Linked DNA regions of Sus scrofa. The protein of the gene in region 1 binds, or shares a complex with, the protein of each later gene. Links are inferred from orthologs where the notes say so. Each region holds a gene or a part of one and is shown in the gene's direction. Other genes may lie near its edges. The genes, in order: STK3, SAV1 and RASSF5.

Evidence for each region.
Region 2: the proteins of STK3 (region 1) and SAV1 are in contact, whole or in part, in a crystal structure (PDB 6AO5), measured with the Homo sapiens proteins. The link is inferred for Sus scrofa from reciprocal best matches to the Homo sapiens genes STK3 and SAV1. Residues at the interface, in NP_006272.2 of Homo sapiens: Trp429, Lys430, Val431, Pro432, Gln433, Gly435, Phe437, Phe439, Leu440, Lys441, Asn442, Leu443, Ser444, Leu445, Leu448, Gln449, Arg451, Leu452, Leu455, Asp456, Met458, Met459, Glu462, Ile463, Leu466, Arg467, Arg469, Tyr470, Ala472, Lys473; in NP_068590.1 of Homo sapiens: Tyr311, Ala312, Arg313, Ala314, Pro315, Asp319, Trp324, Glu325, Phe327, Gln328, Leu329, Leu332, Asp333, Gln336, Leu339, Lys340, Leu342, Phe343, Glu346, Leu347, Ile350, Val351, Met353, Tyr354, Ala356, Tyr357, Arg358, Ala360, Leu361, Leu362.
Region 3: the proteins of STK3 (region 1) and RASSF5 are in contact, whole or in part, in a crystal structure (PDB 4LGD), measured with the Homo sapiens proteins. The link is inferred for Sus scrofa from reciprocal best matches to the Homo sapiens genes STK3 and RASSF5. Residues at the interface, in NP_006272.2 of Homo sapiens: Phe437, Phe439, Leu440, Leu445, Leu448, Gln449, Arg451, Leu452, Leu455, Asp456, Met458, Met459, Glu462, Ile463, Leu466, Arg467, Tyr470, Lys473, Arg474, Pro476, Ile477, Leu478, Ala480, Met481, Lys484, Gln488; in NP_872604.1 of Homo sapiens: Trp369, Asp370, Ala371, Phe372, Ile374, Leu377, Gln378, Phe380, Leu381, Leu384, Glu385, Glu387, Glu388, Lys391, Ile392, Val395, Gln396, Lys398, Tyr399, Phe402, Arg403, Lys405, Leu406, Ala409, Leu410, Ser413.

What each region holds. Positions count from the first base shown.
Region 1 is NC_010446.5:38,006,867-38,017,416, forward strand, and holds the start of STK3 (serine/threonine-protein kinase 3), read left to right. Parts: upstream 1-4,935; 5' UTR 4,936-5,170; coding exon 5,171-5,196; intron 5,197-10,550. UniProt on the Homo sapiens protein: Stress-activated, pro-apoptotic kinase which, following caspase-cleavage, enters the nucleus and induces chromatin condensation followed by internucleosomal DNA fragmentation.
Region 2 is NC_010443.5:180,406,834-180,416,947, reverse strand, and holds part of SAV1 (protein salvador homolog 1), read left to right. Parts: intron 1-164; coding exon 165-435; intron 436-3,418; coding exon 3,419-3,562; intron 3,563-9,142; coding exon 9,143-9,344; 3' UTR 9,345-10,114. UniProt on the Homo sapiens protein: Regulator of STK3/MST2 and STK4/MST1 in the Hippo signaling pathway which plays a pivotal role in organ size control and tumor suppression by restricting proliferation and promoting apoptosis.
Region 3 is NC_010451.4:67,178,184-67,188,297, forward strand, and holds part of RASSF5 (ras association domain-containing protein 5), read left to right. Parts: intron 1-5,580; coding exon 5,581-5,702; intron 5,703-10,114. UniProt on the Homo sapiens protein: Potential tumor suppressor. Seems to be involved in lymphocyte adhesion by linking RAP1A activation upon T-cell receptor or chemokine stimulation to integrin activation.

The sequences.
Region 1 (10,550 bases):
CTTCACTCCAGCCCAGATCAATTTAAACTACAGCACTTTTTTTCTGAGTAAAGCGATAGAACTTAGTGATAGTTTATTACATACAGACTTGAGTCATTATTTTACTCACATGAATACATATTCTATATTTTCACCGAGCCCTATTCTGTATCTTCTATATCTTTTCCTCCATAGGTCTTCGTTAAATAAATCTAGTGTAGATTGGTGGTTCTCAAAGTGTGATCTGGGTACCCCTGGGAGTACCGGAGAGCCTTTCAGGGGGATAACAAGATCAAACTATTTTAAAAAATAACACTAGGAATTCCTGTCATGGCTCAGTTAACAAACCCGATTAGCACCCATGAGGATGAGGGTTCGATCCCTGGCCTCACTTAGTGGGTTAAGGATGTGGCAGTGTCGTGAGCTGTGGTGTAGCTTGCAGATTCAGCTCAGATCTAGCATTGCTGTGGCTGTGGCGTAGGCTGGCGGCTGCAGCTCTTATAGGACCCCTAGCCTGGAAACCTCCATATGCCGCAGATGCAGCCCTTTTTAAAAAAAAGATAACAACAACAAAAATACCAAAACTCAGCTCTAATTTTATGTGCCTTTTTCATTTTCACTTAAGATTGCTATGATACAAGAGGATAGTGGTTGAATTCAATGCAACATACTAGTTCAATGCTAACTATAAAATAAGTTAGAAAAGAGGAAAGAGATCAAGTGAAAAGGCTTTGTAAATCTGCTTTTTTTATAGGAAAAACTTTTGAATTCCCTAGCAAATAAAAAGTTATGTAATGTAACATATTGGAGCAGTGTCTTCCCTTTGTCCCAAACTCTTCTTGATAAAAAGGATTAAGTTGATTAATTAGTATTATTTTTCAAATAAGTAGAAAATTGAGGAAAAAATGAGTCATCCAATTGCAGTTTTAATAAATAGCAGCAACCAGTATAGCAAGGAAATTTTTTTAAATTAAAAAAAATTTTTTTCTACCTATAAAACACGGCAGTGTATGTATTCACTGACAACAAACGCACTTTTGCTTTTCAAAGGAACCCAGTTCCAAACTGAAAATCTCTCTGCTATTTCTCAGAGCATTCAGTTGGGAATTCCAGTGGGCTGTTTGCTAGTATAATTAAAGTGCACACTTAATTTCGATTCCAGTTGGAAGGTCAGAAGCAGGAACAGATTATGCTGCTTTCACAGTTAAGTGAAGCTGAGTGACCCTTATCTGAATCTCAAATTTTCCTCCAGCTTTCTTTTGTTCATGAGTGCTGCTGCTTCTTATTTGCAAGTTGAAAGATGATTTCTTTGCTTTCCTTCTTGGAATCCCCAGGCTGGCTTGCCATAGACAAATTAAAACAGAGAGTTGAGTCTTTTTTTTTTTTTTTCTTCCCTGAGTAATTCAGGGGAAAAACAATTCCTTTTATTCTGTAACACAGAACACACCAGGCCCACTGGCCTCGGGGCTGTAGACTAAGTGTTCCCTCCGCCTCACAGTTATCTTCCTACAGCGCTCAGCAGGGCTCTCCTCCGCTCTTCCTCCTCAATCACCCTCTCATGAAGGCCCCCTCTGGCCATGCTTTCCAAGTTCCATCCCTTCCCCTCCACTTTATTTTCTCTTTCTCCATTTTATTTTTCGTCCTAGCAGATGTCAGTACTATATACATCCACATATATACTGGTTTCATGGTCACACCAGAGGCATATAGAAGTTCCCCGGGCCAGGGATTGAATCTAAGCTGCAGCTGCCACAACACTGGATCCTTTACCCCATTGCACAAGACAGGGTAGAACCCACACCTCTGTAGCAACCCGAGCAACTGCAGTCGGATTCCTAACTCACTTTGCCATAGCAAGCACTCCCTCAGTACTGAACATTTTTGATTACTTATTTGTCTTACTATGTTTCACCAACCAGAATGTAAACAACACGAGGACAGGGATTTTTGTCAAATTTCTTTACTCATGGATCCCCAGTGCCCACGACAGTGCCTACATACACGATTGCTCAGTTAGCATTTATTGAATGACTTACAGGGGGATAAGGCATGGCTTTGGAGTTATAAGGGCATGGGTTAGAATGCAGATTTTCTGTGTGGCCTAGGATAACTCCCTCCACCCATTTGAACCTCAATTTCTTCACTTAAAGCAGAAATAACTAGCAAACAAGGCAGTTTCAAGGGTTTAATGAGAGCATGTGGGCCAAGTGTCTGATCCCATTGGGGTCACACAACAATTGTTAGCGCTCTCCCTTTTGGGTTGAGGGGAGACCTCAGATATTTACTTTCTGATATTATTCCTCTTCCTTCCACAAACCTTCTTTATGGGTGTCTATCAATTTAATTCAGTAGAAAACCCTTTAGAAGGTACACTCAAATTAGGGCCATAGGAGGAGGGTTGAGGTCTAGGGGGTGTGGGGAATAGAGGAGGAATCCAGAGAATTGCAGAGCAGTCACCACCCTCAGGCCCAAAGGGATTAGGAGAGTTGGGCCCTAGGAGACCTTGCAGGAAAGGAACCAGGGGAATAAATAGCCTGAAATTACATTCTTTTCTTCTTACATGATCTCCTACTGGGTCTCCCTATCATCTGACTCAAACATAAGTCAGAGAGCTGAGAGCCCAATGATGCCAGTCATACAGGTTGGCCCCAGGGCAAAGAGCAGATGGAGAAGGATGGAGAGTGAATCTAAGGAAGTAAAAGGAAGCTACCCAATCTGGTGCCCTTGCTGTGTGTCAGGTACTTGTTATGCAAGGGATAGGAGAGAATAAAGACAGTCTGGTTCTCAACAGACTCACAGTTGGGTTGAGATGACAGTCAAATAAATAGAACTTCAATACAGTGTGATAAGAATCCTAAAAAAGCCAGTAGAGTGGATTATGGGGGCATGGAAGAGAGGCATCTCTTTCATAATTGAAGTGTTGGAGGTAGTGGGGTGGTGGTTCGGCTGGTTTGATTGGGAAAGGCTTCCATGAGATTAAGGTTAGTAACACAATTTAATCCATCTTTTAAAGTATATTATAATTTTGGAATTCCACTGTGGCTCAGCGGTAAGGGATCTGATTACTATCCATGAGGATGCGGCTATGATCCCTGGCCTCGCTCAGTGGGTTAAAGGATCCAGTGTTGCTGTGAGCTGTGGTGTCGGTCCCAGATGTGGCTCTGATCTGGCATTGCTGTGACTGTGGTGTAGGCTGGCAGCTGTAGCTCTGATTCGACCCCTAGCCTGGGAACTTCCATATGCTGCAGGTGTGAACCTACAAAGACCAAAAAAAAAAAAAAAAAGTGTTATAATTTGAGCCCATTAAAAACGTGTCAGTTTTCAAAAAAGATACAATGATTTTCCCTGAAAGAGATTTTTTTCTGATAAAGTATAAGGAGATGGGACTAGAGCATGGAAGTGAGGGTGAGTGTGAGGGACAGAATGAAGTAATTTCGAAGGTTTTTCCTAGCTTTGACATCTTAATGATTGTCTTGTTACTTCTGAACTGTTAGACTGTGGATCTTTAATAAATGCAAACAAGTATAAATTCTGTAATAATCTCTCCTGTCCATAGAATTTGACTTTAGGTTTCAACAATGAGTTGAATGGTCTTATAATAGATATTATAAGATAATACAAGAAAAAGAGGTATGTGTACACACACACACACACACACACACACACACACACACATGGCTGAGTCACTTTGCTGACAGCAGAAATTGGCACAACATTGTAAATCAACTATAATTTAAAAAATGACCTAAACAAACAGGAAATGGCCTTAACAAACTTTAAGTTTAGGGGGAGAATAAAATGGTTTGAAAATAAATCATGTAATTTTATTACATAGAAAAAACTTAAAATAACGTAAAAGGAGGACTGTCTCCATACATAAGTATAATTTGGATTAATGTTCACAACATTCTCTTCATACCTTTTGTTTTAATCTTCATCGTGACAATTTCTGACAAAAACAAGCTAGGTCATTACATAGCACCATGTAAGGTCATAAGAAAGATACCTATAGGAGTTCCTGTTATGGCTCAGCAGTTAACGAAGCAGGCTTGTATCCATGAGGACACAGGTTTGATCCCTGACCTTGCTCAGTGGGTTAAGGATCTGGTGTTGCTGTGAGCTGTGGAGAAGGTCACAGATGTGCCTTGGATCCTGTGTTGCTGTGGCTGTGGTGTAGGCCAGCAGCTACACCTCTGATTCAACCCCTAGCCTGGCCATATGCTGTGGGTGAGGCCCTAAAAAAAAAAAAAAGAAAAGAAAAACAAAAAAACAAAAAACCCTCTATAGATGAAATTTAAGGTTAAATGGTACACACACAATATGGATGCATGAAGGAGTCAAATTACAAATGTCTTGGGGACAGGTGAGGGTGAGGGTGGCAAAAGGGAAGGAAAGAAACTCTTCTTGAGTACTTTTCTATGTACCATAATCTGTGACAGGTTTGCCAGCAGTGCACTGAATCCAGTGCATGAGAGATCTCACTGCAGTAATTATTTTCTTTGTAATTAGACATAATTATTGCGAGGAGTTTGTCCACAATTAAAATCAAACAAGAACTTCCAGAAGCACCCCTCGTAGTGGGGGATGGCTGGGGGAAAACATAACCAATAATTATAAAGAGAACTAGAGAGGGAAGTGTCGGCAGCTAGTACTTCAAAAGGCTGCTGAAGATGTTTGGGAGGTATTCTTGAGAAATCCAGTGAAATGAGTCAAATCTGATTGGGGCAAAAGCAATGAAGGCAAGTGAGGAGCGGCAGCTTTGGCCCACTTCAAAGGAATGCCCCAGGCCAGCAAGCAGAGGCTCTGGGACCCGACTAGGCCTCACCCTCTCCCCATTCCAATCCCAGCTCCTTTTCTCTCCTCCCCGCCCAGTGGCTGGCCCCTTGCCTCCGCCCCCGGCCCCGCCCACTGGCAGCCCTCCCCGGCGCCTGGCTCCGCCTACCACGCCTGGGCCGCGGCCGGCTCCGCCCACCCTCCCAGGACTGCGGCCCCCGGCGGAGGGGCGGGGCGGGCCGGGAGGAGCCGCTTTCGCAAGCGGGAGGGGGATCCGCCGCGGAGTTACGGGAAAGTTGGTCCGAGTTCCTGGAGTTTCCCTCTGTGGTTCCCTGGGCTCGGCTGGCCGGTTCCTCGGCTCCTTGCCCGACTCCGGCCTTCGCCGCCCACCTGGTCCCTCCTTCTGCCCCCGGCCGCCATGGAGCAGCCGCCGGCGCCCAAGAGGTAACGAACGCGGGGAGCAAGGAGAAGGAGGGAGGCGGTGCCGGCGGCCGCTGGGCGGGGGCCGCTAGGCCGGGCTGGATCGCGACCCCTTCCCTGACTGCCGGGCCGGGAGCCTGGAGTTCCGGGGGTCTCGAGGCCGGTCCGAGTGTAGGGCCGCGTCGGTCCGTGCGGCGAGGGGACCCTGAGGGAGGCCGAGTCTCGTTTCCCCTGCGGCCCGCCGGGCCTGGAGCGCGTGGAAAGTCGGTGGGCAGCGCCGGGCGCCCAGCGGCTGGACTCCTGGGGCGGGCAGAGTTTTCCCTCGTGGCAAGTTCACGAAGCTGGGGGACGTAAAACTAGGAAATTATTGGACTTCTTACTATAGGCTTTCTTGTCAAATGTTTTCCATAATATGCACCCCCCTTTTTTTGAGAAAGCGGGCTGTTTACTTACACTTCAAGGAATTAAATATTAATAGCTACAGTGTGTTAGCTACAGTGTCTGTAAAACTTATTGTAGATGTGCTGCACTGACAGGTGTTCCTCCCCCTTCCTCCACACGTTCAAAAGTATTTATGGATGCAAGACAGAAATCTTAAATTAGAACCCCACCCCCCATACAGGTTTGGTTTTTTTTGTTTGTTTTTTTTTAGCATGTAAAAACAGTGATGCTTTGATATTTACTGTTTATATTTATTCTTTGATATACTGGATGTGTAAGAGTACACAGTAGATACTTTTGAACTGATATTTGAAGTGCTCTTGGGAAGCTAAATCAAGGCTTTCCATAGATATTTATTCTCAGTGTGCGTCCCCACACCCAACAATGAATCAGTCCACTGATATTGGATAAAACATTTAAGTCTTTCATTTTTCATTTATAAAATAAGAGTATTAATCTCTCTCCCAGATGATGCTTTTGGTGAGGACTAGAGTGTTTTGATACCTAGAGAGTTTAAGTGAAAGGTGGTATATTCAAGAACATGAAATAATTAAAAAGATAGAAACTCTGTGAGCTGTTGTGAATTGTGTCACTGGACATGTGAGCCTTGAGGCTTGGAAACCATCTGTTCAGGTGCGAAAGGGGGGTTGTGGAGAAGTTTCCAAAAGAGACCTGCTGTCATGCAGAGCCCTTGATAGATTCTTTTCTGGCATTCTACAATATCCCAATTCTAATATTGATTGGGTACCCAGTTTTAATACTATAGAAGAAAACTGGATACAGTTTTTCCCCCATTTTGTTTCTGAATGGCTGTAAGGGGCACCTTGGCGATAGTACTTTAAGGCCAAGGTGAACAGCTCTGAATGGAAGTAGAAGCTCTGTATGGATTAGCTCTGCTCTAAGTTATCAGAGTTTCACTCTGGGTGTTGGAGAACCCCTGCCCCTGCAGGGACACGGGAGAGCCTGGAGGGGTGGGGGGAGGTGTGTGTAGTATATGTCAGCATTCCATGCTGACTTATACTTTTCAAAGTGGTGGTTACACATTTGAGCAACTTATTTTTAGCTCTTTTCAGAGAGACATGTTGATCCAGGAAAGCATTTTTAAAGAGCTAAAGATATGTGGCAATCCCATGTATTTGAATATCTCTTCATATTTTTTCATAACATTTTCTTTTTTGTAATATCATTTAATCTTTATAGCAGCCCTATAGAGTCGTTAGGATTACAGACATTAATCCTGTTTTATAGGCAAGAAACTAAGAGAGTTCGTCACGTAGAAGGCTATGGCAGGGATAACCGACAGTGAGGTTTTGTGTTTCCCCCTTAATCATTACCCTCTAATAATGAAATATAGCTGCCTTTTTTTGAGGTCTTACTATTTGCCAGGAATTTTATATATGCATTCTTTTTTTTTTTTTTTTTTTTGGCTGTGCCCTCCAGGCATATGGAAGTTCCTGGGCTAGGGATTGAACCTAAACCCCAGCAGTGACAGTGCTGAATCCTTAACTGCTAGGCCATCAGGGAATGCCTGTGTTTACATTTTTATACTTTATTGTCCCAAGAAATAGGAATCTTGGCTCTGTAGCTGACTATGCTAGGTCAGACTTAAATTTCTTCATCTGTAAAGTGTGATTTGAGGAGAAAAATGAGGTCATATGTAAAGCACTTAGCACAGTGATTCATAATATGTTAGTTATTTCTTTATATTTTCTTTATTAAATGAAGCCTGGAGAGATTAAATAACTTGATCAGGTGGAGAAGGTGCCAGAACCCTGGGCCTGATGGGCTCCAAGGGTTGTGCACCCTCTCATTATAGACAGTGATGCCTCTTTTTCAGAACTCTCTCTTGCTTTCTTAGCATTCCATGATGTGGTGGTCATCTCTTTCTATAATCTTCTGGTCCCTTTTGCTTGTTTTCTTCTTAATCCCTGTAAGAATGCCACTTTTATTTTCTGCCTTGAGTAGCACTTACTTAAGGTGCAGACATTTTTACATGGTCACATGTATGTTACTGATGATCAAGTCTGTGTGCTCAGTTAGTATTTTTGATTTTTTCATGTAGCTCCATTCTTTCATTATCCTATTTAGTTTGTCACTAGATCCTGTCAAATTTTTCATCAAAAAGTCTGTGGATTCATTTCCCCCCCACTTTAATTTCCATGCCTACTACCCCATTCCAGGGTTTTAAGATCCTCACTGTTGATTTATAGCGGTGCTTTCCAATTAGGCACTGTAATCCAGTGATTATCAAAAAATTTTAATAGCAGAAATATTTCAACAGCACAAGGGCGTTCTTTGGAGTAGAGTCAGGGCACCAGAACCTGGTTCCCAGTGCCTTATTTCCTTCTGTTCTCCTTTTGGGGTCCTACAGAACCTAACGATTCACAGAACGCTGCTTTAGTTCATCCTGCATGTGGCTTCTGATTTATTTTGCTAAAACATTACTTTAGTCATTCTACTCTTTTTATTTTTTTTGGATTGGGGCTCATTAGTTGACAAGGTCCCCCCTCACTTGTTCTCAACTTTAACCCCCAGCCTTTAGTTACTTCTCCAAGCTGAATCTGCCCTTCTAAAGTTTCCCTGTTGTTCTTTAAGTAGGTTATAGGCTAGGTACTTCCACCTTTGCCTTTGTGTTTCCTTTAGAAAAGTTTTTGTTATCTTTTGCCAGTAATCTATGTTTTATTCATTCTTCAAGACCTGCTTCATAAAGTATCTTATTTGAGTACAATCTAGCCTAAGATACCTCTCTGTATTCCTCATATGATGTCCATTTGAGTATTCATCTTCAAATTGTTCTTTTTTTAATTTCAGAATTTTAGACATCCAAAAGATAATGGGGACTAATTTAGTAAATACTTACCTGTCATTACCCAGCTCTAGAAATAAAATATCTCCAATGCAATTGAAGCCCCCTAAGTATATTTCTTCTCAGTTGCATCCCCTCCCAACCCCCAAAGGGTTGTCACTGTTCCGAATTGTGTATTTGTCATTTCCATACTTGTCTTTATACTTTCAATGTACTGTTCTAATATATCTGACATAGCATTGGGCCTGGGTGTTAGGCCCAGCTTTGTCACTGACTTTGAAATTTCCTTCTTTGGGTATCATCTGGGAGTTAGAGATTCCAGTGTGCAGCCAGATCTGAGAATCTAGTGACTGGATGGTCTGTTAGGTCCCTCTTACCTTCACATTATTGATTTGGTCTCCCCAACAAGGCTCGTGTTAAACATAGGCAATAGATGTGGTCACCCATGGCACTGACTTGAGGATCAGAATGGCCTTTAGATTCCCCAGATTTCCTTAACAGTTCTGTCACAGAGGGCTTTAAAAGTCCTTATTGAAATGAAGTCCATCTGAGAAGAGAAATCCATTAAATGGTTATTAATTGTTAGTATTTTGGTAGGTTGAGCTTATCAGATTGCTTTGTAGGGAAACTACTGGATGGCAAAGAAATGATCACAGAATAGGTAAGTTTTGGTAGGTAAAAGGGGAAGTGACCAAACACAGGCTCTTCTCCAAGTAGAACATTCATAGAAGGGAAGGTAGGTCTCTTATGATAGATAGATGGGCAGCATGAGAACACTTGCTGCTGGAGGGTAGGTAGTTATACCCAGTACTTGTCAAAGAGAGGATGGAATATCTTTGCTGGAAAGATAGACTTTGCCAAATAGGCCTTATTCCTGTTAGGTTATAAGATTAATAATTATTTAAAATTAAAAATTCATTGATTAAGTTATAATTGGAGGACAAGTCAATGTGGAACAGTGAAAACACTGGATGGATAATAAGAAAGTAAACTCCTTTACCTTATTTACTCTCAAGATAAGGAGGGTTCTTTGATTTCAGCTATAGTTGGATTCTATGGCAATTTTTTTTTTTTTTTTACTGTGAAAAGGTAGTTAGTTTGGAGGACGTATAGTTGAAGATCAAAGTCAAAATGTTAGGGTTACAAAGTGCATTCACACAGATGAAGAGTGAAGGTAAGAAAACAATCATTTCATAAGGGAAAGAAAGTATTGCTCTGAGTGAATGGATTATCAGTCAGAAGATAGATTATCATGGAATGAAAAAGCCAAGGTAAAGGGAAAAGGGTATAGAAGGGTAAGGTAGAAGGTAATTATATGTTCCTCAGCATGAAGAACCCATATCTGCCTGTAGCATCAGTGGCTCTGACCTTAGGCTGGAAATTAGGAACAGAGATAAATGTTAGAAAGTAAAATTCTTGTGTGCTTATTATCAGAGAGATTCACAATCTGGGGAGCTGGAGTTGTCTTTAAGAAGATGAACTTGAAGAACTCTTAAAAACAAAGGCAGTGGCCTCAGGGAGTTGGGGGAATCTTCCAACTTTAGAGGCAGGCAAGTGGAAGAGGTGTTCTAAGTGGTCCAGTGGGAGAATAATCCAGCAAACAGGAGCATTTCTTTGCATTAATGACTTGGTCCCTAAAGCATATCTGTCCTCACTTTGGCTTTTCTTGGTTAATCCAGGATGGCACCAACTCCATTAGAATTGATTTAGGCCCTGTAAATGGGAACAATCAATTGGCTTTTCCTTCCTGGAGAGAGGAGTATGACAACATTTGGAGCAGTTCCTGGTGAGCAAACCCCAGCTGCACATTCAAAAAGGAGATAAACTCCATCTTATTCAACTCTAGGCAATGATTAATTTATCTATTGTTCTTTAAGGGGCCGAGATAGAGCATATACTAGTACTTTTGGAATTTGTTGGAAATGTAAAGAAAAAGGTAAACATATGTTAAACACAGCTAGGTTGAAATTTTTTTTCTGAAGTAATCCCAAAAAATTCTTGTATGCATTCCAGAAATGTGTATTAGTGAAGCTTTAATAATAATTGGTTTAAATTGAGCACTTCTCATTTGTTTATGGGGGGGAATGTGCTTAGAATTTAATGTTTCTGGTTTCAAAGAAGTCTGTGTAGA
Region 2 (10,114 bases), on another chromosome or scaffold:
ATTAAATAATAGGAATACTGGCTAGTTTTATGAAAAATCTATTAATGTAAAATCATGGCTTTTAACAGAAGGGTATGATTGAGATAGTTAATTTTGTGTTTCTCATATGTCATTTTTTTTTTAGCTATGAATAATTGTTCTATTCTCTTTTTCTTTCTTTTCAGGTATTGGGAGAATTGCTGCTACATCTTTAGGAAATTTAACAAACCATGGTTCTGAAGATTTACCCCTTCCTCCTGGCTGGTCTGTGGACTGGACAATGAGAGGGAGGAAATACTATATAGATCACAACACAAATACAACTCATTGGAGCCATCCTCTTGAGCGAGAAGGACTTCCTCCAGGATGGGAGCGAGTTGAGTCATCAGAATTTGGAACCTATTATGTAGATCACACAAATAAAAAGGCTCAATATAGGCATCCCTGTGCTCCTAGGTAAAATATCAACTTTATTTTATCTCTTTGTTTTGAGATTGTATAATGTTAAGCTGTAAATTCATATTTTCATTAAAGAGAAAGGCATCCTGAAGTTTAATTTGAAAACTATGTTTTTCAAAGTTTATGAGATTTTTCTCTGGACTTATATTTAGTAGTGAATTACTTTAATAGTTAAAAACTTTTTAAATAGCCTCAAAAACAAGATCTACATTCTTGTGATCAGATTCTGCTTTTTGTTAAAGATACCTGGAAATTGAAGCAAGTAAATAAAACATCTATCTCCTTACATTTAAATTTTTATAAAAAATACAGACCTGCCTTATAATGTGCCAGAATATATGTTTTGAATTACATGTCTTGCTATTTGCCAGGCAAGAAAGCAAAAATTGGAAATGCACAGAACATCTCAAATCTGTTTGATAAATGCAACCAATGATCCTTTGGGCTGTTTTGATGATGTTGGCCTTATCAGTAGATCTCTTTTATGGCCAAACTTCTACTATGAATTCTTTAGCCAGTTGTCATATATGGCTATTGAGCACTTGAAATATGACTAAGCCAAATTGAAGTGTGTTATACATGTACACATTGGACTTCAAAGTATATAGAAAGTCTAGTATGGAAATTGCAACATTTCTAGTTAACTATATTTGAGCTCTCAAGAACTGAGCCATAAAATTAAAAATGGGTAGAATATCATCAGCATTTTGATAGGTGTTGCTTAGTATATCTAGCATAATATAGATACTTGGTTAGAGCAAGCATTTGTGTTTTTTAGAACCATTAATATCATTATGAAAATAAATTTTCACATTATCATCCAGAAAACTAAGCTTTATCATTGCTGTATTGTTTTAACAGTTTTACACATTTGGATTTATTAATTCAACTTTGAAAAGCATTTTTTTCATGGATTCCATTTAGTGGCACTCAGTCAATATTTATTAAACAACTGAAGTTGTCATCCCTTCAAAAGAACCAAGTCAACTGCTCTGCCTGTGTTAAGCTCAGGCCCCTTTGCCTATTCTTTTTACCATTGCAAGCAAACTGCACTTTCCCTGGCTTCCATTTTCAGGCCTGTGACATGTGAGTAATTTGTAGCTTCACTCCCACCTGGTCACAGTCCCCACCGAAGGGCATAGTAAGTCCCACTAATTCCTTCTGTGTCCCCAGCACCCAATATAGAGACACACATAGGTAGATGTTTGTTGAATGAGTAAATGATAGAAATGCAGGAAAAAAAAACAACAAAAACATGTGGTTACAGTTTGCTATCACTAGGTGGCAGAGGCTTTCTGTTCCTTATAACCAGATTTGAGAGTATATGGAACTTAGTTTTCTGTTTACCGTCATTAATTTTATTACGGAATTTTTATAGTTTATGAAGAATTTTCACAATAATTTAATTTGTGTCTCTCCGCAAATCAACTTTAAACTTTAAAGAGAGAATAAATGTCTTAGGCTCAAGTAGAATTAATTAGTAGCCATTTAACTATCTATATTATGCCAGTCAGTATATAGAACTCTTGACATATATTAGGTCATTTACTGTTTAGCTCCAGTTTTACAAATAAGGAGGCTGAGGATAAGAGAAGTGAAGCAGTTTTGCCTACATTCATACAACCTATAAGTGGCCAAACTGAGGTTAACTGCCCCAACCCAACACCGCCCCCCCCTCAGGGGGTATCTGACTTCAAAGCCTTAGTTCTTTCCCACCTTCCATTTGTGACATCAAGGGATATTTCACTTTGTACCTATCTATGAAAAAAGAAATGAAGATAAAATTCAGTGCCATTTGCACATTGATCTTTAAATTGTTAACCATAGTCTAACCCAGCACTTACTTTGTCCTAGTTTAGTTATCAAATGACCTTTTCTGATATACACATAAATCTTTATGTTTGGAGGCAATTTCCAACTTAGTATCCAAGTTAAGGATAGGCCGTTTTTGGTCTCCCACAATTCAGTCTTTAACCTTCAAGTGGCCCAGTGCTTTCCTTAAGATTTTCCATTTATAACAGCCCCCAGCCCACCTTGCTGTTCTCTTTCCTCCCCAATATACACAGACCTGTTAGAACTAGTTAAAAGAGTTGGCTTTTTTTTTTTTTTTTTTTGTCTTTTTTTTTTGTTGTTGTTGTTGTTGTTGCTATTTCTTGGGCCGCTCCCGCGGCATATGGAGGTTCCCAGGCTAGGGGTTGAATCGGAGCTGTAGCTGCCAGCCTACGCCAGAGCCACAGCAACGCTGGATCCGAGCCACGTCTGCAACCTACACCACAGCTCACGGCAACGCCGGATCGTTAACCCACTGAGCAAGGGCAGGGACCGAACCCTCAACCTCATGGTTCCTAGTCGGATTCGTTAACCACTGTGCCACGACGGGAACTCCAAGAGTTGGCTTTTTTAAGTCTCTGATTTAAAACAGGTTCTGAACAATTCTAATTCCCATATACTTTCTTAAAGTTATTAAAAGCAGAAAAAAATAGTACAGCTAATGTGGGCATTTCAAGCATAGTACTCACTCCTGCTATAGTACCTACTCCAAACCCCCTTTTCAGCCTAAAGGAGGAAGAAAATATCCATTTTTATCTTGAGAAAAATTATCAAGCCTTCCAATATAAATTTACAGCTAATTACTACTGTTACTAAAATTTATGATTCTAGTTTTAAGCCTCTGTCTAAAGGTTATAACTTAGCTCTGACTTTTTTTATGGCCTTTTTTGAAGTTGCCCTTGAAAAGAATAAATACCAACCAGAGAAATCTCTTAAAAATATGTTAAGATTTAGTTTAGTTTTATATCCATCATTAATGACCTACAATTTTCCAAGAGAAGGTGGATTTTACTTCCCTTTTTTTAAAAAGCCAAGATTTTTATGTTTTTTAGGTGGTAGAATTTGGGGCAAGAGGCATATTGAAAAACACTTATTACTATTTCTTGTTTCATTGAGGGCCTTTATCCTAATGAATGTTCTTTATTCTTAGCGTACCTCGATATGATCAACCTCCTCCTGTTACATACCAGCCACAGCAAACTGAAAGAAATCAGTCCCTTCTGGTACCTGCAAATCCGTATCATGCTGCAGAAATTCCTGACTGGCTTCAGGTTTATGCTCGAGCCCCTGTGAAGTAAGTGAATTTATAGCACAAATTTTTGTTGAAAAGTGAATGGAGAGCGGAATGGAGTCTCTGGGCTGTTTTACCTGTGTAGCACCATGTTTTTTCTCTTAATAATACTGGGCTTTTAAATGATATTTTATTTGAAGAAAGGCTATCAGAGTTTGTAAAGTTGAAAAGTTATTGATTAGAAACAGAAGTTTTACAAAGTTTTATTGAATCTTCACTTTCTTTGTGTGCCAACTTGTGCTATTACATGGATTCAGTAAAAGGCTTACATTCTCATAGGGGTAGAATAACTTGTAAATTAGTGATACAATCTCTTGTGATAAAAGGAGGGACCCAGAGAAGTCCTAGATGCACATGTGAAAAAGAGCATAACTTAAGGACACAAGGGTGTTGAGGAAATACTGTGCATGGTGGCTAAAGTTCTGAGATGTTCTGTGTTCACTGACACATTGTTACCCTGGACAGGGTGCTTAACTTAGTTTTGTCTTCTATAAACTGGAGATAGTAAATAGTACCTATTCTTAAGCCTATTAAGTACTCAATAAAACAATGCATCTAAAACATGTATAACAGTGTCTTGAACATTGAGAAAGCTTAGTAAATGATTGTTATTATTAGGGGTGAAGGTACAGAATAGTGGTTAATATTGCTTGTGAGGGAAACTGGTTGGAAGGAAAGCGTGATTTCTGTTTCCATCACCTACTTAGTGAATGACCTTGGGCAAGTTACTGAACTTAGTTCTCAGTGTTTTTCCTCTACTGAAACACAGCGGGTAATCTTAGTTACCTTACCTACCTTACTCCTGGTGAGGCTTAAAAGCAATCATGCATTTTAAAGCAAATGGGCATAGTGGGTGACTTGGGTAAGTCCCTTAGTTATGGTTTCTTATTATTATAGTGAGTGAGCAAGGAAAGCTGCACTAAAAGAGGAAAATACATGAGCTAGTTTTTATAGATGGCTCCGAGTTTGCGAAGCTCATTGAGGATATTTGTTGGGTGCCATAATAGGCACTGTTCTTAGAATGTATTCATGAATAAATGAAATATTTGCCTCAAAGAGCTTCTCTTCTGGGAAAGCAGAAGTAGCTACTCAGATTAATAACCCAATGTGATAAGGATTAGTATCAGTGGTATATACAGAGTGCTGTGATTTCAGAAAAGGGGGTTTTTGGGAGTCCTCACTGTGGTGCAGCAGGTTTCAGATCCAGCGTTGTCTCTGCAGTGGCCTGGGTTGCTGCTGAGGGGTGGGTGTGATCCCCAGCCCAGCTCAGTGGGGTTGGTGTGGCTGATGTTGCCACAGCTGTGGCATAGGTCATAGCTGCAGCTCAGATTCGATTCCTGGCCTGGGATTTCCATATGCTATGGGTGCAACCAAAAAGGGAACTAAAAAAAGGGGGTGGGGGTTTAAAAGTAAATAGCTGTTGCTACCTGTGTTCCATATTGTACTATAAACCTTTAGGTAGGTTATCTCATAGAACCTTCCTCAGTCTGTTTTATAGTTGAAAAAAATTTTGTTTCTTCCCAGATCACACAACTGTTAAGTGGTGGATTTTAAACCTTTAACTTCAAAGTTCATACTCTTCATACTCTTAATTTTTGTCATTACTACTTTCTTAATACTAATTACCATTTACTGAGTATCAAATTCCTGGTACTTTGTATTTTACACATAATAATTACATGTACAGTACTGTTAACAACTATATAAAGTGATGTTTTGTACGTTTATTCTCAGTACTCCTTTTGTGTTTCAAAAACCAAAATTATCAGCATAAAATAGCCCACAGAAGAATTTTAGAAAGATGGTTGTACAGTGAACTTAGAATAATTAAATATCATAAAGTTATTGGTCATTTACTATGAAATATTTGTTAATTATTGGCCAACATAAACATTCCCTTACACTTTCCCCGATCTTCTCAGTTTATAAACTCACAGCTATTGATCTCTGTGGCCAGGTGCTATAAACTCACAGCTATTGATCTCTGTGGCCTGGTGCAGAAAGACAAGATGGTATTTGAGGACTCTGATCTGAAAGCATTAGGATTTTTTTTCCCATAAGTCAAATTTAGGCCTTGTCAGTGTATTTTTTAACGTTTTAGTTATAAATATTATCCTGCAAGGTGTAAACAGAGCTTGTCAGCAGTTTGGCTTTAGTTTACTTGAAATTATGTACATATTCACAGAAATTAAGCATAGTTTGGTGTCTGAGCTAACCTACAGAAGCCTCTTTATCTGATAATATCCATATAGTATAGGAATAGGATGAGGAATCATACCAGATGGACTTTTTTTCCTTTCTCCCCTCTTCTTTCAATCATGATACCACTGACCTTGTATTGTACATAGCTCTTGTTCATATGCTGATCCTAAGTCATATATAATATATTCATATATTTCCTTAAGTCTGGAGGAATGTGTGTCTGTTAAACATTTGTCACTTCTGGAAGCTGATAAGATTGAGGAGGGTTATTCTTTCTACTTTATGTTATTGCTACTCTATAGCCATTGTAGAAAGAAATAACATAGAAAGCTTTTCCTTTTTGGGGAAAAAATAGTACTAAAATGGAATTCTTTGCTTCTTATGAGAAAAAATAACTCAAAGATTATAATCCCTTTCAACTCAGGTTCTATGAGCTAGTTATAAAACTTTAGGAAACTATCAACTTTTTTTTTTTTTTTTTTTTTTTTTTTCCCCAAATAGATCAGAACTTTCCAAAAATTGGCCGGTAAGAATAGAGAGTATGTATTTTACTGCTTAAAACAAGAGGTCTAGAGACCTGTTACCTTTTAGTTGATCCTAAATTTTTATCTCTGAAGAGGATGGAAATGGTTACTATTGTCTTGTCAACAAAAGGTGAACTGTTCTTTGAAGTAGATAATGGAGAATCAGTTACTTAATAAAAAAGAGGTTTTAGCCAAAAATTAGCGTGTTTCTTCCTTTTGTTAAACAGTTGACATCTTATTTCCTAAAAATGCCTTAATTTTGTCTTTAGCAATAATTTAGCAAAGTAATTTTTGCACATGTACCTTTAGAACAGATGTTTTAAATTTTTATTAATTTTAGTTATGCTTCTAAATTTGTTCACAGAAGCCTGTCATGTATCATATAACTGTAATTCTAGTTGAACTACAGGGTAAATTTATAAGATTTAATCATTAACAGGAAAAAGACCATTAGGGACATGTTTACTTTCCATTATTCTTCACATACACACACACACACCCAACAGCATTGTGGCACAGACCCTTATTTTATTCCTGTGACTTGGTGTTCCTGCTGTATGACTGTTGACTCATTTCTGGGTGTAGGAGGAAAGGAGTGGGTACACTGTTACATAAGACAGGCACAGGGAACTGGGGCTACACTATAATAACCAGGGCTGGGAACAGCAGCTTTTGGCTCCTGAGGGCAGCATCCACTGGAGTGTGCACATGGTTTTTTTGGTAGCATTACAGCAATTATTGTTTGAATATATATATATATGTGTTATTTATAAGTACTGTTTGGATAGAATACTGCCCTAAGAAAAAACAGCAAAAGAGGTGCTATAAGAAAAGGAAGGATATTGGAGTAGTTTACAGCCTATTTTCTGAATGATTTACCTGTGTATTTAGAGCATAGTGGCTAAAAGGTAAACTGAAGCAGATCATTTGGCTTGTGAAGAAGAATGGGAATTACATACTTTTCTAAAAAAATAAAAGCAAGCATAGGCAGAAGGGAAGTAACTGCATAGAAACAGCAGGGACAAGAATTTGGAATGGAAATTGGCACATTGCATACTTTGCTCATTTATGCTTTTCCTTAAAGTGCTTTTTCTTCTTCCCAAAGTATTTTCACTAATTATCCTGATTTTGTTGCTTCTACTCAGAATCCTATTCTTGATGCTAAATGCTGTGATTGGGAATAAGCACGGTATTTACCAAGATTACCCTATTAATTCTCTCTTTTTTTTTTTTTCTCCCTTGCTAGAAAGTACATAGGCAATAAATGAGCTTTAACATTTTTAGAGTTCACCTGGCATAAATTTAAGCATCTTGAATCTGTGGACACTGCTGAAATGCTCCTTAGTTAATGTAGTTCAGACTTAGAAAGATGAAGGTTTTTGTTAGGAATTATGAATTTGTTTCAAACAAATAAGTGAAATCTTAAGGTACATGAATGGCAGAAGTTCTAGGAAACATCTTAAAACTTTTTTCACAGGGGCTCATTGAGTATTTCTCATGCTAGTTCTCCAATTTATGTCCGCAAGTAGTTGGAGTTTCTCACTAAAGAGATATTTCTATTAGTAAATTTTCAGTGCTCATTAAGTAATTAGTAAATTTGGTATCCAACAAAATGTTTACTTTTTGATCTTGTGTTTTGTGCTTCTGGTATTCCTAGTACACATACCCAAGTTGTACAGAGAGGTATGGCAGCACGCCAAGCTCTGTATTTGTTTACTTTGTCCATTTTTAAAAAATGTTAGATGTTCCTTTGGGAATAAGATGGTAAATGAGTTCCCCATCAGAGGATCATCAATCAGGTAGGAAATCTTGTCAATAATTACTAAGAATAAATTTATTAGAATTTACAATTGAAGGTCTTCCTGTTATGTCCATTCTGCAATATGATTTGAGAAGTATAACTTTAATATTATATAAATATATGCCTTGCTGTAGGTCAAGTTCTTTCTCTAGTCTTGGTAGGTATTAACATCAGAACTATTACTCCGATGCATCTTGGTCCATAATTCTCTTTCTGATCTTTTAGTCACTAAACAGTTTTGCAAGAGAGATGTATATAGCTTCTCTAGGTTTCATGTATAAAGTGAGAAGACTGGATTAGAGTCCTGTCCTCAGACCCCTTTCATTCCAAAGTGAAAATTACTGCTTTAGTAGTCTGTTGCATACTTCCATCTCAGCTTACCACTGAAGAAGGACTTTGGAAATGTATATAAATATAATCTTAGGTGAGTCCATCCCACATTGTGTAGTTTGTTTTCTCATTTCGTAAAGAGCTTATTCTTTCCTTTCTGCTTGTGTTGTTCTGTTCAGTTTATAATACTGTATACTCAACCTCAGGAAAATGTAGCCCACAAATGATAATTCCTTTTCCTTTCTCTGTTTAGCTCCTTGTTTCCTGTAGTGAACAGCAGGTCTCAACACTAATGACACAAATGATCTTGCCCATTTTTGTGTATTGTTCTTTACAAGAGCAGTGTTGTCTAAAGTATTCTTAAGTTCCTGACAGTTAACTTTGAATGAGCTTATGTATAGAGTGGAATGTGTTCTTTAGAAATTATAGAACCACAGTGGTTGGAAATCTGTGTTCATTGTCTAGTGTTAATATTAGAATAACTGACATTTAAGATGAATAGAAATGGGTATTTTTTAACTTCAATTGAAATGAAGTAATATTAGCAGTTTTCTCCTTTCCCTAAAAAATAGTCTATTTAACTAGCAGTTAATAACTCAGTTATTTTAAGGTTTATGATATATTTAGTTTTAGTAAAATTGATATTTATAAAAACAGACCAGTTTACTACTATAAATACATATTTATGAATACATTGTGAATATGTTTGATTGTGTTTTAAAACAGATATGACCACATTCTCAAGTGGGAACTCTTCCAGCTGGCTGACCTGGATACATACCAGGGAATGCTGAAGTTGCTTTTCATGAAAGAACTGGAACAGATTGTTAAAATGTATGAAGCCTACAGACAGGCTCTTCTCACAGAGTTGGAAAATCGCAAGCAGAGACAACAGTGGTATGCCCAGCAACATGGCAAGAATTTTTAAGTTAATTTTTATAAATAAAATTTAAGGGCTTTAAAATCTTTTCACAAATGAAAAACTGCAAACAAGTACTTTGGTTAAAAAGGCAGCTTACTTTTTTGGACATCATAAATCTAATTTTACATATATTTTGTTATTAAAAATATTCTTTTATTAAGAAAAAAGTGAGTTTATCATTTTAAGAGCCAACCTGGCAAACACTTCTAAATGCTGTATATTTGGAAACTGCTTTGAATATTCTTGATGGCAACAAATGTAGCAAGAAATGTCATTTAACCAGATATTAAGTAGGAAATTATCAGTCAGTAAACTCTTATAGTAGCAGTACCTTTCTTTAAAAAGCAGAGAGGGAGTTCCCATTGTGGCGCAGGGGTTAACGAATCTGAGTAGGAACCATGAGGTTTTAGGTTCGATCCCTGGCCTTGCTCAGTGGATTAAGGATCTGGTGTTGCCATGAGCTGTGGTGTAGGTTGCAGACGCAGCTCGGATCCCACGTTGCTGTGGCTGTGGTGTAGGCTGGTGGCTACAGCTCCAATTAGACTCCTAGCCTGGGAACCTCCATATGCTGAGGGAGCGGCCCTAGAAAAGGCAGAGAAAAAAAAAAAAAAAGCAGAGAGATAACCTATGCAGTATTTAAAAAAAGATGTCTACTGCTTTCATGTGGAATATTGCCTGGAATTGGATGGTTTAAATATTACCATTCAAAACATAAAATGGGATTTGGGTGATAAATTTTTGTATATAATGTATGAAGTTCCTCTGCCCCCAAATGT
Region 3 (10,114 bases), on another chromosome or scaffold:
TAAGGATCTGATGTTGCTGTAAGCGTCAGTGTAGGTCACAGATGTGGCTCCGATCCAGCATTGCTGTGGCTGTGGTGTAGGCCTCCTATCTGACCCCTAGCCTGTGAACTTCCATATGCTGCAGGTGCAGCAGAAAGAGAGAAAGAGTGAGAGAAAGAAAGAGGGAGGGAGGGAAGGAAGGAAAGAAGAAAAAAAGAATGGCTATTTATTATAAACATGCAGAAACAATAAGGAGAGGGAAAACACCTGAAATCCCATTACTGAGAGCGAGTGTGTCACTTTCCTTCCAGCTCTTTCTCTCTGTGCAGAGGGTATATGTAGGTATGTGTCTGTTTTTATTTAATTAGGACCAGAAAACGCCACCTTTTCCTCTATCAATGATATGCTTGTGGACATCTTTCCAAGTTGGCCAATCTGCATCATTTTATATATAATGGTTAAATAGTATTGTGTTTTCAAATATATCATAACTGTCACTGGCCCCCATAGATGTACGTGGGGTATTTCAGTTCTATAAACAACTGTGTGATGAACCTCTTAGTGGAGATATATTTAGATACAAATAATTATACACAGCTGAGATAAATTCCTACAAGAAATTGGTACCGTGAATAAGGCAAGAACCTTTTCATCCATGATGACTGGTGTCACATGAAGGCACAGGCACCCGGGAGATGGCCCTGTAAAGATGGAGGCAGAGTTTGAAGCGAGGCTGCTACAGCCAAGAAACACCAAAGATTGCCAGCAAATCACCGGGAAGGAGCCTCCTGCAGGCTTCGGAGGGAGCATGGCCCTGCCAAGGCTTTGATTTCAAACTTCTAGCCCCAGAACTGAGAGACAATACATTTCCGTTTTAAGCCACCTAGTTCACGGTGCTCTGTTATAGCAGCGAGGAAGCCAATACAGCCCGGGTCTGAGGGTGGCCCCTGGGAGTCCCCTCCCTATCCTGGTGCAGAGCTCCCTCTTTGGAGAAAGCCCCTGTGGCTGTGTCTCCACCACTCATCCTAAAATTGGCCCCTTCTGTGTCCATAGGCCCCTCTTCCCAAACCTGAAAGCACATTTCTTTTCCTTAAAAAGTCCTTGGAAATGGGGACAGGGCCTGTGGCTGGAAGGGAAGGGTGGGGAGGGGAAGGGATAATTTTGTTTGATAGATGAAAATTCTGAAGTCAAGAAATGCCAGGAGTTCCCTGGTGGCCTAGTGGGTTAAGGATCTGGTATTGTCACTGCTATGGCTCAGGTTTGAACTCTGGCCTGGGAATTTCCACATGCTGCAGGTATGGGGAAGGAAGGAAGGAAGGGGAGAAGGAAGGCCACTTCTTCCTAAGACAGCTGCACTTAGAACCTAGGAGTATCGCTCCCAAGTTTCTCACTGCTTTTTGCTGGGGAGATGCTTATCCTGTGCATCCTTCAATGTCAGAGTCCCTGCCTCCTTTCGGCCCCTGCAATGAGTGACAGAAGCCTGATCCATTCTTCAAGCTCCCCATAGCCTCCTCCACTAAGAAGCCTTCCTGACTGCCATGGCCAACAGGTGTCTGTGTCCTCAGAATGACCTTCCTAGATCTGGGCCCTGCTCTGGGCTTCCTCTCTTGATAGTTACCTTTTCACCTGTGAGTCCTGTTGGTCCAGCCCACCGGGCTCCCCCTGGGACCCTGTCTCATTCATCCTCACCCTCAGGAGAGCACGGGGCACGGGAAAGTCCGTGCTCAAGACACCAACGTTGTTGCCAAAGATGAGGTGCTGGCTGTCCAGGGGAGGCTGAGCCCCATGCCACCCAAGTCCCTGTCTCTGTCCTCATCCAGACTGAGCACCAGCTGAGGGCCATGCGGGACATGATGGGACCAAGGACACGGGTGGGCTTGGCAGCACCTCAAGAGGAGCTATCTTGTGGGAAAGATGGCCCGTGCAGGTTCAAGCACTGAGTCCCAGTGGAATGCGACCCTGACCTGGGACTCTCACAGGTGTCCCCACTCAGGGCACGTGAGGCGGGGCCTGCCTCTGTGTGCAGAGCAGGGCATGGGGACTCTGACTTCATCTTGGCTGGCCTAAAAGCCCGGGGCTTAGTTAGCATTTCTAGGGGCCAGGAAATATCAAGCCATGCTTCCGTGGTTTTGCGACAGTCTGTGATTACACGGTCAGATGGGACAGACCCACTAGTGCTCAAATGTGCTTTTTATACAATCCCGAAGCACCCCTCTTGGAGTCTTCTGGGTCCTAACTCTGTCCAGCTCAGCATCAGACCTGTTTAAAAAAACAAATACAAAAACAACAACAAAAAAATCTCCCAAGGGTTTTGGTGCTGTTTTCAGAATATGTGTGTGTGTATGTCTGTGTGTGTGAGAGCGAGATAGACAGACAGACATGGAGAGATTCAGTTGCACAGATGGACACAGACCGCCTGCTGACATGGAATTGAAAGAGGAGACAGGAGAACTTTCTCCTCTCCCCAGACACTCTCCCCTTTGGCAGCTGGTGGCAGCTCTCACTCCTGCTTCCCACTTGGCATCCGCAGAGCATTCTTCATCGCTCAGAGCGTGGCCAGGAGCTGCACAGGTGTGTCCCGGAGTGGAGCCGGGAACAATGCTGCCCTGTGTGGGTTCTGGCCTTGGCGCTCCCTTATCAAAGCCCTGGCATTTCTGGGCACTGTGGGCAGGGAGACTTGGCCTGCACAACCCCCCGTGCCCTTCACCCGGTGCCTGGGTCTCCTGCTGGGGGCCCAGGAATGCGAGTGGCTGCTGGCAGGGGTGCGGTCCTCCACCCACCCCATCTCCAGTGGGAGCACAGCTTCTCGGGAGAAGAATCAGGAAGTCTAGGCAAGGTTGGGGTCTGAAGGAGGGGATGTCAGTGGACTTGACCTGCAGGCACAGGGGAGGTGAGCGGTAGGGCTTCTAAATGCCACCCTAGGAAGGTGGTCAGGACTTCAGACCATTGAGTCAGAGGGTTGCTGGGTTCTGGGATCCCTTCCTGTCCCTGCATTGGCCAGGCGCTCCCCTGAAAGTATTAAGATCAAGAAATGTGAGCCGGGTGCTCATCCTTGGGGAGGTAAGAAAGGGGGCAGCTGGGGAAAGTGGGGTTCTCCTTCCAAAACGCTCCAAAAGAGTGGGGAGACCCACCCACTGCCACCCTAAGAAAGACTGTGCTACAGCAGCTTTAAAAAGATGATCCAGGGAGTTCCTGTTGTGGTGTAGCAAAAACAAATCCAACTAGTATCCATGAGGATGTGGGTTCGATCCCTGGCCTCGCTCAGTGGGTTAAGGATCTGGCGTTGCTGTGAGCTGTGGTGCAGGTCGCAGACAGCGCTTGAATCCCTTGTTGCTGTGGCTGTGGTGTAGGCCAGCAGCTGTAGCTCCGATTGGACCCCTAGCCTGGGAACCTCCATATGCCGCGGGAGCGGCCCTAAAAAACAAAAACAACAACAAAAAGAGGGTCCCCAGGTGCTGTGGTTCTGGAGCTTGTTAAAAGGAAGGAAAAGAGGGAGCTCCTTGGTGGCCTAACAGTTTGACCCCTGGAACTTCTACATGCGGCAGGTGTGGCCCAAAAAAAAAAAGGGGAGGGGGGAGTTCCCTTCATGGCTCAGTGGTTAACGAATCCGACTAGGAACCATGAGGTTGCAGGTTCGATCCCTGGCCTTGCTCAGTGGGTTAAGGATCTGGCATTGCTGTGGCTGTTGGTGTAGGCTGGCAGCTACAGCTCCGATTGGACTCCTAGCCTGGGAACCTCCATATGCCGCAGGAATGGCCCAAGAAATGGCAAAAAGACAAAAAAAAAAAAAAAAAAAAAGGAAGGAAAAGAGTGTCAGGAGACTGAGCCCAACATAAAGCTGTCCCTTCGTCCCCAGATTATCCAGACATGTCCAGGCTGTCTCCTGCCACAAGCCCTGCCCACCCCAGCCCACCCCTATGTACCGGGTGACACGGTCCAGCAACCTTCTCATTAAGACTCTGGCAGCCTCCCTCAGCAGGGCCTTCTGGCTGAGCTGTGGCACCTCCAGGGCTGGTGACCCTGATGGGCCCAGCAGCTTCTGTGGGAACCAACCTCCAGCCTGAGCCTTGTGCCTGCTGATGGGCTTGGACGGATTTCTTTCACTGCCAACCTTTTTTTCTCTCCCATCCTCCCTGCCTTCACCTGCCCCAACCTCCCGGCCTCCTGTCCCCTTCAACTTCACCTCCCTTCTGCCAAGGAGGCTTCAGAGAGGGCCCTTGGGGAAGCTGGAAACTGCTTGCAACCTTGGCTGTGCCACTGAGCCGTGTGTCATTGGGCACCGTGCTTTACCTCTCTGGGCCTCAGTTTCCCCATCTCTGAGGTAACCCCCCATGGTCTGCTGAACACTGGTCATTGTCTTACTTCCATGGATGTGAAACAAATGTGTGCTTTCCTCCAAAGCCTCATTTGGAATGTTGTCTGCAGGCCATGTCAGCCAAGTTAGAGGAGCCACCTCGCATTTCTAGATGGCACTGTGTCAGAGAGACGTGACAGCCCTTCCTGTTGGTGATCATGCCTTTGTCCCTGGAGAAACCTTTAATTTGTTGGGGTTCTTTTTGTTTTTTGGGTATTTTGTTTTGTTTTGTTTTTTGTCTTTTTAGAGCCTTACCTGTGGCATATGGAGGTTCCCAGGCTAGGGGTCTAATCGGAGCTATAGCTGCCAGCTTATGCCACAGCCACAGCAATGCAGGATCTGAGCCGCGTCTTCGACCTACACCACAGCTCATGGCACGCTGGATCTTTAACCCACTGAGAAAAGCCAGGGATCGAACCTGCAACCTCATGGTTCCTAGTCGGGTTCATTTCTGCTGCGCCACAACACAGGAACTCCCACCTTTAATTTGTTAAGACCCGTTCTCCTCTATAACTGTAATCATCCTTGTGCACCAGGCAGGGCCATTATTACCTGTTTTACAGCCTGCAAAACAAGGCCAGGAAAAGTTAAGTTCTTCCACAGGGATTGGGGCCTCTGATGATTAACATCAATTAGTAGAAAGAGCACCAGCCTGAAGCCAGATGATCTGCCCTTGAGAAAGTCACCCTAGGCCCCAGTTTCCTGTCGGCAAAGTGGCGGTAATCATGGTTGCAGGGTCACACACAATAATGGAGGTGGAAACAGTTTACATACTGGGAGCTCCCATTGTGGCTCAGAGGTCATGAACCCAACTCGTATCCATGAGGATGTAGGTTCAATCCTGGCCTTGCTCAGTGGGTTAAGGATCCGGCGTTGCCATGAGCTGTGGTGGAGATGGCAGATGTGACTTGGATCTGGAGTGGCTGTGGATGAGGCTGTGATGAAGGTCCACAGCTGCAGCTCTGATTTGACCCCTGGCCTGGGAACCTCCATGTGCTATGGGTACAGCCCTAAAAAGAAGAGGAAGACAAAAACAAAAAGGAGATTGCAAATTCTAAACAAAAACTAGATTGCAAACTGTAAAGCACCTATTCACCTTCCCTACTCATGGTAGTTCAGAGAGAGCGAGTCATTCTCATGGTGTTCTTCCCCCTCCACCGCCCTCCAGGAGCTACATGCCGCCTCCCAGGGCCTTTTTCTGGGCCTCCTGTCTGGCCCCTAATCCCTCTGCGGTTCTCTCCCTCCAGACTGCAAATTCACCTGCCACCCTGAGTGCCGCAGCCTGATCCAGCTGGACTGCAGTCAGCAGGAAGGCTCCTCCCAGGACAGACCCTCTCCAGAAAGCACCCTCACTGCAACCTTCAGCCAGGTAGGCGGGAGGGCTCGAGCTCCAGGTTGGCGACAGCCTCCTGAGGTGCCCCCAGGTTCCCCTGTCCCTCCCAGGGGCTCTGGGGAGCATGGGTGGCGAGAGTGTTCCATGTACGCTGGATGTTGGGGGTCCCCTTCTGGCCAGTTGGGGTCCATAGCACACTCTTCGAGTCTGCGCCCAGTTCCAATGTGGGGGGTTTCCCCACACCACCACCCTCTGACACCCAGTGGGTGCCCTGTAGTTCAGCTCAGTGCTGTACTCTGCACCCCCCACCCACCACCTCAGATACCAGTTGTAAGAGTATGTTGTCACCCATGCTTCGGACCAACAGGCTGTAGGTGGGAGGTTGCCACAGCTCTGTCTTTGGGCTCAATGCATTTGTTAGAGCAGCTCACAGAACTCAAAGAAACATTTGAAACTTACTAGATCGCCAGTTTATTATAAAAGGATATAACTCAGGAGCAACCAGATGGAAGAGATGCAGAGGGCCAGGTGGGGGAGGTGCACAAACTTTCATGTCCTCTCCAGAGGTGCCCTCCCTGCTCCTCCCCATGTTTCCCAACCCAGAAGCTCTCTGAGCCCCAAACTTCCAGGACCTTACAGAGGCTTCATTATACAGACATGATTGATCAAATTGTTGGCCATTGGCGATTGATCCACCCTCCGGCCTCTCTCTGTTCCCCAGAGGTCAGGGGCGTCCATCTGAAAGTTCTAATCCTCTCATACTTGGTTGGTTCTCCTGGCAACTAGCCTGCATCCTTAGGTGGGATCCAAAAGTCACCTCATGGAATTCCCATCTTGACTTAATGGTTAACGAACCAGAATAGTATCCATGAGGACGTGGGCTCAATCCCTTCCCTTGCTCAGTGGGCTAAGGATCTGGTGTTGCCATGAGTTACGGTGTGGGTTACAGATGTGGCTCGGATCCCACATTGCTGTGGCTGTGGTGTAGCTACAGTAGCTACAGCTCCAATTCAACCTCTAGCTGGGAACCTCCACATGCCATAGGTGCGGCCCTAAAAAGACAAAAGACAAAAAAAATTTAAAAATAAAACCGACAATTTTAATTTTAAAGAAGTCACCTCGGAATTCCTGTCATGGCTCAGTGGTTAACGAATCCAACTAGGAACCATGAGGTTGCAGGTTCGATCCCTGGCCTTGCTCAGTGGGTTAAGGATCTGGCGTTGCCATGAGCTGTGGTGTAGGTTGCAGACGCGGCTCGGATCCTGTGTTGCTGTGGCTCTGGCGTAGGCCGGCAGCTACAGCTCCGATTCAACCCCTAGCCTGGGAACCTCCATATGCCTCGGGAACAGCCCAAGAAATGGCAAAAAGACCAAAAAAAAAAAAAAAAAAAAAAGTCACCTCATTAACATCACAAGAAATACCTTTGGTGCTCTCATCATTTAAGAAGTTCCATTGTGCCAAAAATGGAGACAGAGATCAAATGTGTATATCTCTGATTATTAATCACAGTATCAGAGTTCTCGTTGTGGCACAGCAAAAACAAATCCGACTAGGATCCACGAGGATGCAGGTTCAGTCCCTGGCCTCGCTCAGTGGGTTAAGGATCTGATGCTGCCTTGAGCTGTGGTGTAGGTCACAGACGAGGCTCAGATCTGGCATTGCTGTGGCTGTAGGCCAGTAGCTACAGCTCCGAATCGACCCCTAGCCTGGGAACCTCCATATGCCGAAAGTGTGTCCCTAAAAAAAAAAGGCAAAAAAAAAAAAAATCACAGTGTCACACATCCTTTCCAAGAGGCTGGGGAAGCGGAATAGCATCGGTGACACAGGGAAGCCTGTCATTATTCAGAAGTGCCCTCCCTGTGGCCCACTCCAAGCACAGAACCTGTTTTGGCCTAAGGCTCCAGCCATAGGTGTGGGTATGGTCAATCCCAGAGAAAGCTCCTGGGGATCCTCAGAGGCCTCCGAGCCCTGGGGCAGTGGGGATGCTGGGGCTGAGGCTTCTGGGCACATTGTCCTGCCAGCCAGACCAGATCAACGTCAGAGGGCCTGGACAGATGTCCTTTCTCTGCGTCAAAGGACCAGGAAGTTGATGCCCAAAACAGCTCTTGGTCTGGGCTTTGCCAAGGCACCTGAACCAGGATGTGTTTGATTTTTGATGTCAAGGATTTGGGAGGAAGACAGGAGAGCATTGTTTTATATGTGTGTGTGTGTATATATAGATATATAGATATATATATAAAATGATTTTTATTTTTTTCCATTATAGCTGGTTTACAGTGTTCTGTCAATTTTCTACTGTACAGCATGGTGACCCATTTACACATACATGCATACATTCTTTTTTTTTAATTCTTGCATTGAACATTGATTATCAAACACTGGTAAGAGTGGGGATAAAAAATGATACACCACAGTTCTTGTCTTCAGAGAGCTTACATCCTGGCAGGGCAGGCAGAATACAACCAAATAGGACATAATGTGATGTTTGCTTCAACAAACACACGAATCAAAGAGTTTTTTGCTTTTTTTTTTTTAAGGAAGAATAGGTGATTTACAATCTTGCGTTCGTTTCTGGTGTACAGTAAAGTGATTTAGTTATATATATATATTCTTTTTCATTAGTTATATGTATATATTCTTTTCACAAGATACTGAATACAGTTCCCTGTGCCATACTGTAGGACCTTGTTATTTAACTATTTTATATATAGTAGTTTGTCTCTACCAATCCCAAACTCCTAATTTATCACCCCCGCCCTACATAAGTGTTTTGAGTATACAGTGCAATTGTTTCTCTTGGGAGAAATCAGGGACTACTTCCCAGAGGAGGTGATGTTTATTCTAAGCCTTAATGTATGCGTCAAAGGTTGCTGGTCAAGGAAGTAAGGACATCATCCAGGTATTTATTTGCCAAATATGTTTTGAATATAGACCATGTGACAGGCCCTGGAATGCCAGGGGCTTGGTGATGCAGTAAGGGACTTGGCATCCTTTGGTGATGCCAGGGATTTAGGAGAGCGAGACTAAGTAAACTCCATGTTTCTGAAGGAAAAGGCCCAGGTGCTGAGAGACACATAGATGTGAATGACTGGTTATTTCCTCAAGAGAGCACGAGTGGGCCTGGGGAATCGGGATCCAGTCCCAAGTCCCCAGACCAGCCATCCCCACGCTTTTTCTGGCCATGAAGCATGAGTTCAACAATGCCCAGTCGCCTGGCCCCGCTTCCCATGGGTGTTACCAGCCTCCTGCTGTTCCCCAGGCCTTTTTCTCCCACTGGGAAAGCATTAATAGAAAACAAATATGATGTATGTTTTTATAAGAATGATAGACATTCCCATCGTGGCTCAGTGGTTAACAAACCCGACTAGTATCCATGAGGACACGGGTTCGATCCCTGGCCTCGCTCAGTGGGTTTAAGGATTCGGCGTTGCTGTGGCTGTGGTGTAGGCTGACAGCTACAGCTCCAATTCGACCCCTAACCTGGGAACCTCCACATGCCGCGGGTGCAGCCCTAAAAAGACAAAAAAAGAAAATAAATAAATATAAGTATGCCATTGAATGGGTTCTAAAAAATATGCTTTGACGTACACCCTGACATGCTCTGGAACTGGAACCATTTATGATGTTGCCTGAATGGAACCGAGCCTTTTGGGAGGGGCTTGGCCCCTCCAGGGTGAGAAATGGAAGGGAGACAAATCCCACCCCCGCAAAGCCCTGGTGAATGATGCAGATTTTTGCTGAAGGTTTTCTTCAGAAGGTGGAGGAGGGAAGTTCCCGTCGTGGCGCAGTGGTTAACGAATCCGACTAGGAACCATGAGGTTGCGGATTCGGTCCCTGCCCTTGCTCAGTGGGTTAATGATCCGGCATTGCCGTGAGCTGTGGTGTAGGTTGCAGACGCAGCTCTGATCCAGCGTTGCTGTGGCTCTGGCGTAGGCCGGTGGCTGCAGCTCCGATTGGACCCCTAGCCTGGGAACCTCCATATGCCGCGGGAGTGGCCCAAGAAATAGCAAAAAGACACAAAAAAAAAAAAAGGTGGAGGAGGGAAATTACAAAGGCACACCACACAACAACCTTTCCTAAAAATCGTATTGAAACAACTCTGTTTTTCCAGCTTTCTCTCCCATTGGGACGTTTCCAGCCTCTCTTCTTTCCATTCGCCTTGACCCTACCCATCTCCCATCCTACTCCTGCCACCTGCATCCTGGATTTCTACTTTAGGTCTCTATTTCTTCCTCTAGAGCAGCAGGTCTCAAATGGGGGCAGGCGGGCGGGGGGTACACTTCAGCAATTACTAAAGACACTTTTGGTTGTCACAGCCTTGGGGAGGTTACTGGCAATAGCAGGTAGAGGCCAGGGATGCTGTAAACAGCCTCCATCACCTAGGAAAGTGCCCCCTCAACAAAAAATCATCTGGTCCCAAATGTGAACATTGCCGAAGTTGAAAACCC